2 linked regions of the Rattus norvegicus genome follow. The protein of the gene in region 1 interacts with the protein of each later gene in a biochemical or structural test. Links are inferred from orthologs where the notes say so. Each region holds a gene or a part of one and is shown on either strand. Other genes may lie near its edges.

Region 1 (4,411 bases):
AGATCTGATGTGCAAACTACATGTACAGTCCCATTATTCAGACACAGCAAATGTGGGAAGGGTTTCATCTATGGCCAGTGCATTTTAATTACTGGACCCCAGATGAACACTTACTTCAGTTTAATGAGTCTTTTAACATTTGGAGGTTGGAGTTGTTTTTATGGTCAGGGTCTCACTGTGCAAAGTTGGCTTAGTACTTGTGACCTTGCTGCCTCCACCTCCCACATGTAAAGACTGCTAGTGTGTGCGAGAACCCGAAGGCAGAAACCTAATAAGTGGGTGTCATTTATCCGATCTGTGCTGATTTAATGTAGTATTTCTTACATTCTAAGGCATGTTTCTGGGTTGTTATCTCTATTTATAAATACACTTAAATCAGTAACTACACATCTGAAATAACAGCCTAGCTAATTTATCTCATAAGAGTGGTCCCACACAATTCCTCCTTTGAAAAGGGGTGGGAAGCAGAGGGAGAAAGGTCAATTTAAGTCCCAATTTCTGAAAACAGGTATCAAGGTGTTTTGGGTCTTGTACAAAGTCGAAGGACTTAAGATAAAAACCAGCCTCAACCCACACTAGACAACCTTGCTTTTAGCCTTGAGGCCTTCACACTTCGAGAACTGCTCAGATTTGTGGAAAACTAGTTATTTTAAGACAGGGTTCCACTCATAGCACAGGCTGGCCCCCTGAGGCTGCCAACCTCTTGCCTCAGGTTCCAGATGCTTCGGATTACAGGTTTCTGAGCATACTCCCCTAGGGCTGTTTTTGTCCCAAAGGCAAGTCACTACAACTCTTGAGCACCACGACCCTGGGGTCTGCAGGGCGGGGAGGCAAGGTGACAGCAGGTGAGCTAGGCGCGGATGAGGAAGTGAGCCTGGCACCGTGTGGAGGATTACTCATGCTGCTTTCCTGCGAGCGGAATTTCTGGCCTCGGTCTGTCCTGCTGAAGTTCAACCCAACTGCTGTCACTTCCCGTCCGGGTAGGCTGGGGAAACCCGCGCGTCCGTGGGAGGGGAGGGAGGAGGCACAACGGGTCAGGTAGCTCGCGCGCGACAAGTCCTGGTTGTCCACGTCCCCGGGGCGCACGCGCGGGTCTCCGCACCCACAGCAGAAGCGCGCGGGTCCGCAGAGTGCGCACTCCACCGCGCGAGGGCTGAGCGGGTGTGGCCCATGCCTACAGCTCCACCTGGCCTAGGAAGCCATGCTGCAGCCTCCCGTTCCTGTCCCTAGAGTCCCTGAACCGTTCTCCGCTACCCCACCACACCTGAGCAAAACTTTTCCCTCGCCTCCACGATTCAAACTCCGCAGCGTCTAAGGCTGCCGCAAACCACCCCGGCCCTAGCAACAAGGTTCCGGCCGTAGAGCGAGCGCCGCTAGGTGTTAGGAAGGTGATGTCGTAAAGCCCCGAGTGTCGTAAACCAGGTGCGGTGGGGAGGGGGAGGGGTGGAGGCGGCGGGTGGGGGGGGGAAGGGGAGGGAGGGAGGGAGGGAGGAGGGGGAGGAGGTGACTCGAGCATTTAGACACAAGCGAGAGGATCATGGCGGATGGCCCCAGGTGTAAGCGCAGAAAGCAGGCGAACCCGCGGCGCAATAACGGTGAGTGGCGGAGGGGCCCGGCGTGGCGGCGGGCAGCGGGCTGCCGGGCGAGGGGCGCGGGGCCGAGCGGGCCGGGGGCGGCGGCGGGGCCGGGCCGAGTGGAGTGGGAAAGTAAAGTAGTGCGCCCCGCTGCCGCCGCCGCCGCCGCCGCCGCGGCCGCCGTCCTGGACCGTTATGTCTTACCTGCCTCTGCGCCTAGCGGCTCGGGCGGCCGCCGGGGACCGTTAGCCGCGCCGCATCCCGCCGCCGCGCCCGGCCACTTTTCCGCCCGCGGGTGGAGCGGCTGTTGCTTCTTTCCGCACTTTCTCCACTCTTGCTGCCCCTCGGCGCCTCCCCGCGCGCGATCCTCCCTCCGCGCAGGCCGCGGCGGCGGGGAACAAACTTGCGGCGGGCGGGCGCGGACTGCGGGGCGGGCGCGGGCGGGAGAGGACGGGCGGTCGCGGGCCAGTTGCGTGTCGGCTGCGTGTCGACCGTGCGCGCGTGTGCGCGGGAGCGGGCGCTGCGCGCCGGGTCGGGCGCCCGCGGGAAAGTTGCGCCCCGCGCGCTCGCGGGCGGGCGGGGATGGGGACGCGCGGGGCCGCCGTGAGCCGGGCGCTCAGGGGGTTGGAACCCGGCGCCTGCGGTGCCCGTCGGGGGCCGGGCACGCTCTGGCGGCTCCTGGCTGCTGCCACAGGGCGTGTGTGTGCGTGGACTCGCCGCCTGCGGGCCGGGAAACAGCACAGACAGGTCGGGACACCCGGACAGCCCGAGTCCCGGCGGGCACGGGGCTGTGTGCATGCGCCTCGCTTTGGCTCTTTCGGTTTGGGGAAGTTGTTACCTGGGCCCGACGCGCGAGCAGAGGACAGATAATGGAGCTGGGCTGGCGCACGGGGTCGCGAGTGGGGCGGGTGGGGGAGGGGGCTGGCGGCCCGACGGGCGCACGGGGCTGCGGCTAGCGGTGCAGCTGCGCGGGGTATTGATTTCCGCGGATGTGCCAGGGAAACACACTCCTCCTTGGCCTGGCTGCAGAGTTTTTTGTTGTTGTTCTTGTTGTTGTTCTTGTTGTTGTTGTTGGGGTTTTTTGTTTTGTTTTGTTTCTTAAGAGAAAAAGCTACAGGCACTAGGAGAGAATAAGACACCTCGACTTTTGTCGGTGGGTGCCCCATGGGCTCTCCCAGCGTGGGGAGACGCGGGGAGTTGCTGGGTGATGCCCCTCTTAGGCGAGTGTGTGCTCTCAGCTTGCAGCGCGGACAGCCTCTGCTCCTGGTCATTGTCTGGACAGTCCCTGCGGCGGCGGCCGGGGGATGCCCCCGCCCGGGTACCTGTGTGTGGTGATGGGCGGCCACAGCCCTGTGCTGCCGCGGCCGCGGCTATATAAGGAATTCCTCATGCCTTTCGTACCCAGTGGCTGCGTGGGGCTCCCGCGGGGTGTTGAACGAGTTTTTAAGATTGGGGGTAATAAATATGCCCCTGATGGCATCAATGTGTCGTCCAGAGAATTAGGAAATCCTGTTTAAGTGGCAACCGTGGCGCGCCCCCCACGCCCCACCCCTGCCCGGCCTGCGTTGCTCCCTCCCCTCCGGGATGCCAAACGCCAGGTTTTGTAACCTTTCCTGGCAATTTTAGATTTTGTGTGGGATTTCCTGTCTAGAAGCAGATATGAAGATTTTAGTCTGTTCCAAAGGTTTCTTCTCGGTTGTAAACACATTTTGAATATATCTGAGCCCACATTAAAATCTCCGCTGCCATGAATGATTTTCAATTCAGATAAATGTTGCGTTTCGGAGAAGCCTGTTCGTTCGTTCGAAGGGAAAGGTGTGTTGGGTAGCGTCATTGTGGAGAGGTGACTGGTTGTGGCAAGGACCTGAGCACAGGCTACCGCAATTGTAATTTCCTGCTTCTAGCGTCAAATAGTGTCTGTTCTACATTGGGCTGTTGCCGCTATTGCTGATGTGGCTTTATGAAAGGTAAGTTGGGTAGAAAAGGGCTGTTCGCTGCCCTTATGTTATTTAAAATGTTAATCGCCAGAGAAAGGGGCTTTTCTTGTTGCTGACGACATGTGTGTGACATGTGAATCTGAACCACCCAGCGTCTGTGCAGCTGCTGTAAACATGTTTACCTGAACAGGGAAGAATGGATTTTTCTCCTAGCGATCCTGTGATATTAAAATATCACACACATAAGGCATATCAACAGATGACTTAAGGGGGGAGAAGGCTCTTCCGAAAGGTGCTTGAAATCAACAGGAAAAAGAGATTCTTGATCGCTGCAGCAAATGGCAACTTGTGCAGGTAGAAATAAGATGGTGTTTAGTTTTTTTCCTGCATGTATGTCAGCCTCCTTTTTGCTGCCTTCATTTTCAGGGGAGGGATTTATGTAGCAGGCTTGCTGTTAGCGTTTTCCCTTTGTGTTTAATATTAGAAAAACAGATTTGGGGCTCTTGTGACTGAAATGTCTTGACTGCAGTATGCATTACTCAGAGAAAACAAAAGGTGTGTGAGAGAACGAGGTGCTACCACAGGTATCTCCCGTTTCCATCACTTTTGGCTTTCTCTTTGTATTTCTTTTTGTTCTCAAATGCTTTCATCCATCGCTAACCATTGCAGCCATGCTATTTGATTTCTCCTGCTATTTTTGCAAATTAAGAACGAAGTTGTATGCATTGTGTTGTGAAACCTGGGGATAGGTGCTGGTCGATATTACTTGGCAATGCAGTCATATTTAAGTTGCAGATGTTTCAGCAGAGAATTGTCTAGAAAAATGTTAACTCTTAAAACCCATTTAAATGCATAAGCAGTGATATATACAATAGGAGATATTAATAGAGATATTTTGTA
Region 2 (4,547 bases), on another chromosome or scaffold:
GCTTCTGTTTAGAACATCCATATTACTTGGATACAGGCAAGTCTGTTTGAAAGGTGGGTGCCCTCTCTGTTCCTTTGGGCTCCCCTTTCATACTACTTAACTGTGTTTTTATTTAGTCAACTCGGGATTTTGAGACTGAAATGTGATTTAGACCCTTCTAGGACCCATTCAGGAGCTACTGGTAACTCATACCTCAATGGGGAATGGGAGGAATGGAATGGAAGGCCCAGAAGAGACACGGCTTGTTCTTTCTTTCATCCCTCCCAACCAATAGACTCAGCAGGACATCTTTGCTTAGTGTAGACATCTGGGGATGTTTAGTAGGCAGAGACAGGTTATGTTGGGAATATAACTGCTTCCCCAGCAGCTCTCGTTGCCATGTCAAAGGGTATCATAGGTTGTCCTTGTGTTCTGAGAGCCCCCTCCCCAACTCTCCTCACTTGTATGGTATGAGAGGTCTCCCTTAGTGGATAGCTCATTGTATCTAGGTATAAAGGAGGGGGCATCTTACAGGGAGGCCAGAATCTTGGGAAAGCCCAAGTCTGTGGTATGAGTCCTGAAAGTTATAGGTCCCTGTGGTCTTTCCCCATAGTCCATGTCAGCTGTGGCCCCTACCTCCCCTTTGAGTTGATGTCCTGAAGTCATTGAGTTAACTCTGGGAGAGCAGACCCAGGTTGTGATGGGGAAGAGTGTTAGGTTTCAATAGGAAGTTTTTTTTAACTGATTCTGAAATAACGTAGCTAATATTTAGAGATACATTTTCCTGATTCCAATCTTTTCTTTATAGGCATCTCTCCTAATTGTTTTGTAACTATATGTGTTAATACTCTGGAGGTATCTTGGTGAAAGACTTCTGGGATCTGGAAAGTTTTTGGTAAGGAGGAGCCCAGACTATAGAGCAGGCAGATCCCCTTTTCGGGGTTCTTTACACATTCACCCATAGCAGTGTTTTTAAGTGTGCTGATGCCCTGCAATGTGCTACCTACTGGTTTTAACCTGAACACTGAGTACTAGAGTTACTAATGTAAAGGATGCGAGAACATATATGCTGCAACTCCATGTAAACATGTTAGCATTATTCTGCCTTTGACTGATGAACTAAGGCTGAAAGTGTTTATGGTTTTCCCCTGTAGAAACAGCAAGTTGCTGGGCTGAGGTCTATTTCATCCTGAATCATATGCTTATTTTTCCTCTCCCCGACACTCAGAAATAATAACCTCTCCACTTTACTCTTGCGATTTTAAATTTAAAGCTTCCGTAGAGAACACTGTAGAATTTGCCATCTTGGTAAATCCCTAACCCTACCTTGGTTAGTTTTGTTGCTGTTGTTTCAGGGTTTTTTTTTTTTTCCTTTCTATTTCTCCACCCCCCCCCCTCGGTAGAGTGCCATAAACAGGTGAAGCCTAAGCCTTCCCAAGATCTTTTTCTAAAATCTGTGGCTGTTGTTACCTCTGGTAGAATCTCTTTCAGGAAGGGGTTTTTCTGCCTAGGGGGACAGCGGTGCCATTCATCCCTGTTGGAGGCCTGATTCCGGGGCTGGGGGCCCATACGTGGAGAGGGGAGGGGCCAGGGGGCGGCCCCCTTGTGACCAGCCCTGAAGAGAGGTCAGAGAGAAGACTGGCAGAGGAGCGCCTGGACAGCAGCAGCAGCTGACTTTCTAGATCAAGCGCGCCTTGGGGCCCCAGGTAACAAACCCAGACCTTTTTACAAATCCGCGGGCTTGGGGAGCTGCCGTGGTTGCGGGGAGGGAGCATGCACTTTGGGGGTCGCGTACTGTGGATGGGGGTGGTCACGCGTGAAGGGAGTCTGAATTCTGGGGGAAACCCTAGGAAATGAGAGGACAGGAGCCAGAAACGGGGTGTGAGGGCACAGGCACGAAAGAGCAAGAGAGGGCGCTCGAGTGTGGCACACAGCAAGTGCGCTTAGGAGTAGAGGCTGGAAGCATAGGTAAGAAAGGAGCTAGGGGACACTTTCGTCCACTGAGTCAGTTTTTTCCAAAGATAACCTCCTTTCAGCCATATTTAACATACACTGTTGACTCAAGGGGCTTAAAGATGCAAGGAAAGAACGCAGAGAAAGGTGCGCCAAACCCAGGCTGCACAGAGCGCCGAAAAGACAGCGGGTTATGCCTTTTAAAAAGAGTTGCCATCCTTTCCACCCTAAAGCTCAAGCCAGTCCCCTTCTCCCCTTCCCCGTACCCACAGTTCTGGCGGCCTTTGGAGCAGGTAGCCGCGGGCTCGGGTTCCGCACGCCACGCGAGCCCCGGTGCAGGGGCGGAGCCGCGGCCGCGCGCGGGGCTCGCGGCAGGGGGAGGGGCTGAGGCTAACGGCACCGCGGCCATGACGCCGGGCTGGCCGTCCACACGAGTTCCTGTCTCCCTCCACCCATAGTCATAGCTCATTCCCAGACGCGTTTCTTCCCAGGCTTGGGAGTGAGCCGATGGCCCACGTTCGAGAAGCGTCCCGGTCCTCCCGCTCCGTCGCCTGTTGGAGTTCGGGAGGTGGTCGAGGAGCCTGTTTGGAGCAGGCGGCTGAGAATGCATCGAGAATGGAGCAGACGATGCGGGGTACACAGGGAGCCCAGGAGATGAAGCCGGAGCTGTGGCCGGAGCCCAAGCCCACGTCGGAGAACTTAACAAGTAGGGGCAGTGGCAGCGATGAGAAGGTGCTCCCTTCTATCCCGGCTGCTTGTCACACCAGCTCCAGCTCGGTTTGCCCGCGCCGCAAGCCCCGCCCTCGGCCCCAGCCCAGGTCCCGCTCCAGGGGAGGGCGTGGGCTCAAGGCCCCACCCCCGCCTCCCGCCAAACCTCCGCCTCCCCCGCCAGCGCCGCCGCCACCACCCCTGCCCAAGCCGCGGCCGGTGGCCTGGCGCAATTCCAGGCGTAGACCCAGGCCTGCACCCAGACCCCAAACACGGAAAAGCTACCCTAGTGACCCAGGCTGCTCTGGGGACTCAGATGGCACAGAGAACAGGTTACTGGAGGTAGGGTTTGATAAGGGTCCCACAGGCTGCTCTCATGTAGAGATCTTTAAAGTAGCTAAAAACTGGCGGAGGAACCTGCGGATGATCTATCAGCGTTTCATTTGGAGTGGAACCCCGGAGACTAGGAAGCGTAAGGCAAAGACATGCATCTGTCGTGTATGTAGTACGCATAAGAACAGACTCCACTCTTGTCTGTCCTGTGTATTTTTCGGATGCTTTACTGAGAAACATATTCATATTCATGCAGAAACTAAGCAACACAATTTAGCAGTAGACCTCTACCATGGGGTTATATATTGCTTTATGTGTAAGGATTATGTATATGACAAAGATATAGAAAAGATTGCCAAAGAAACAAAAGAGAAAATTCTGGGACTCTTAATGTCCACTGCAGGAGATATGTCTTATCAGCAACTAATGGCATCTGAGGTTGAAGAAAATCAATCAATCTGTGAGTCCAAAGAACAGGAGACCAGTTTGGTAAAACCCAAGAAAAAGAGGAGGAAGAAGACAGTGTATTATACTGTAGGCCTCAGAGGGTTAATTAATCTTGGGAATACTTGCTTTATGAACTGTATTGTCCAGGCACTTACCCGCATTCCACTACTGAAGGAGTTCTTCCTTTCGGATAAGCACAAATGCATGATGACAAGCCCCAGCTTGTGTTTGGTCTGTGAGATGTCTTCACTTTTTCAAGCTATGTACTCGGGGAACCAAAGTCCTCATATTCCCTATAAATTGCTTCACCTGATATGGATCCATGCAGAGCATCTAGCTGGGTACAGGCAACAGGATGCTCATGAGTTTCTGATTGCAATATTAGATGTGTTGCATAGACACAGCAGAGATGATGGCATCGAGCAAGAAGGTAACCTCAACCACTGTAACTGCATCATAGACTACATCTTTACAGGTGGCCTGCAGTCCGATGTCACCTGTCAAGTCTGTCATGGTGTCTCCACCACTATAGACCCATGCTGGGACATTAGTCTGGACTTGCCTGTCTCTTATACCCCAGGGAGGGCTGGCAGCACAGGCCAGAAGCCACGAGTCATCTCACTTACAGATTGCCTGAAGTGGTTTACAAGGCCCGAAGACCTGGGAAGCAGTGCCAAAATCAAATGCAGTCGATGCCAAAGCTACCAGCAATCTACCAAACAGCTCACAATGAAGAAATTACCGATTGTGGCCTGCTTTCATCTGAAACGGTTTGAACATTTAGGCAAACAGAGACGCAAGATTAATACTTTTATCTCATTTCCTTTGGAGCTAGACATGACACCCTTTTTGGCCTCTACTAAAGAAAGCATAATGAAAGGCCAGCCATTAACGGAGTGTGTGCCAATTGAGAATAAATATTCTTTGTTTGCAGTGATTAACCACCATGGTACTTTGGAAAGTGGCCATTACACCAGCTTTGTCCGTCAGGAAAAGGACCAGTGGTTCAGCTGCGATGATGCTGTAGTCACTAAGGCTACAATGGAGGAGTTACTCTATAGTGAAGGGTATCTACTGTTCTATCACAGGCAAGATATAGAGAAAGAATAATCTTACCCAGAATGATA

The links.
Region 2: the proteins of Zeb1 (region 1) and Usp51 form a complex in vitro, tested with the Homo sapiens proteins (2 studies listed by BioGRID). The link is inferred for Rattus norvegicus from reciprocal best matches to the Homo sapiens genes ZEB1 and USP51.

What each region holds. Positions count from the first base shown.
Region 1 is NC_086035.1:56,807,757-56,812,167, reverse strand, and holds the start of Zeb1 (zinc finger E-box-binding homeobox 1), read left to right. Parts: upstream 1-1,514; 5' UTR 1,515-1,537; coding exon 1,538-1,595; intron 1,596-1,778; exon of another isoform or gene 1,779-1,790; coding exon of another isoform or gene 1,791-2,372; exon of another isoform or gene 2,373-2,402; intron 2,403-2,516; exon of another isoform or gene 2,517-3,534; coding exon of another isoform or gene 3,535-3,541; intron 3,542-4,411. Other genes in the region: basic proline-rich protein-like, read right to left, coding at 1,791-2,372. UniProt on the Homo sapiens protein: Acts as a transcriptional repressor. Inhibits interleukin-2 (IL-2) gene expression. Enhances or represses the promoter activity of the ATP1A1 gene depending on the quantity of cDNA and on the cell type.
Region 2 is NC_086039.1:21,752,641-21,757,187, reverse strand, and holds the start of Usp51 (ubiquitin carboxyl-terminal hydrolase 51), read left to right. Parts: upstream 1-1,609; 5' UTR 1,610-1,685; intron 1,686-2,423; 5' UTR 2,424-2,439; coding exon 2,440-4,530; 3' UTR 4,531-4,547.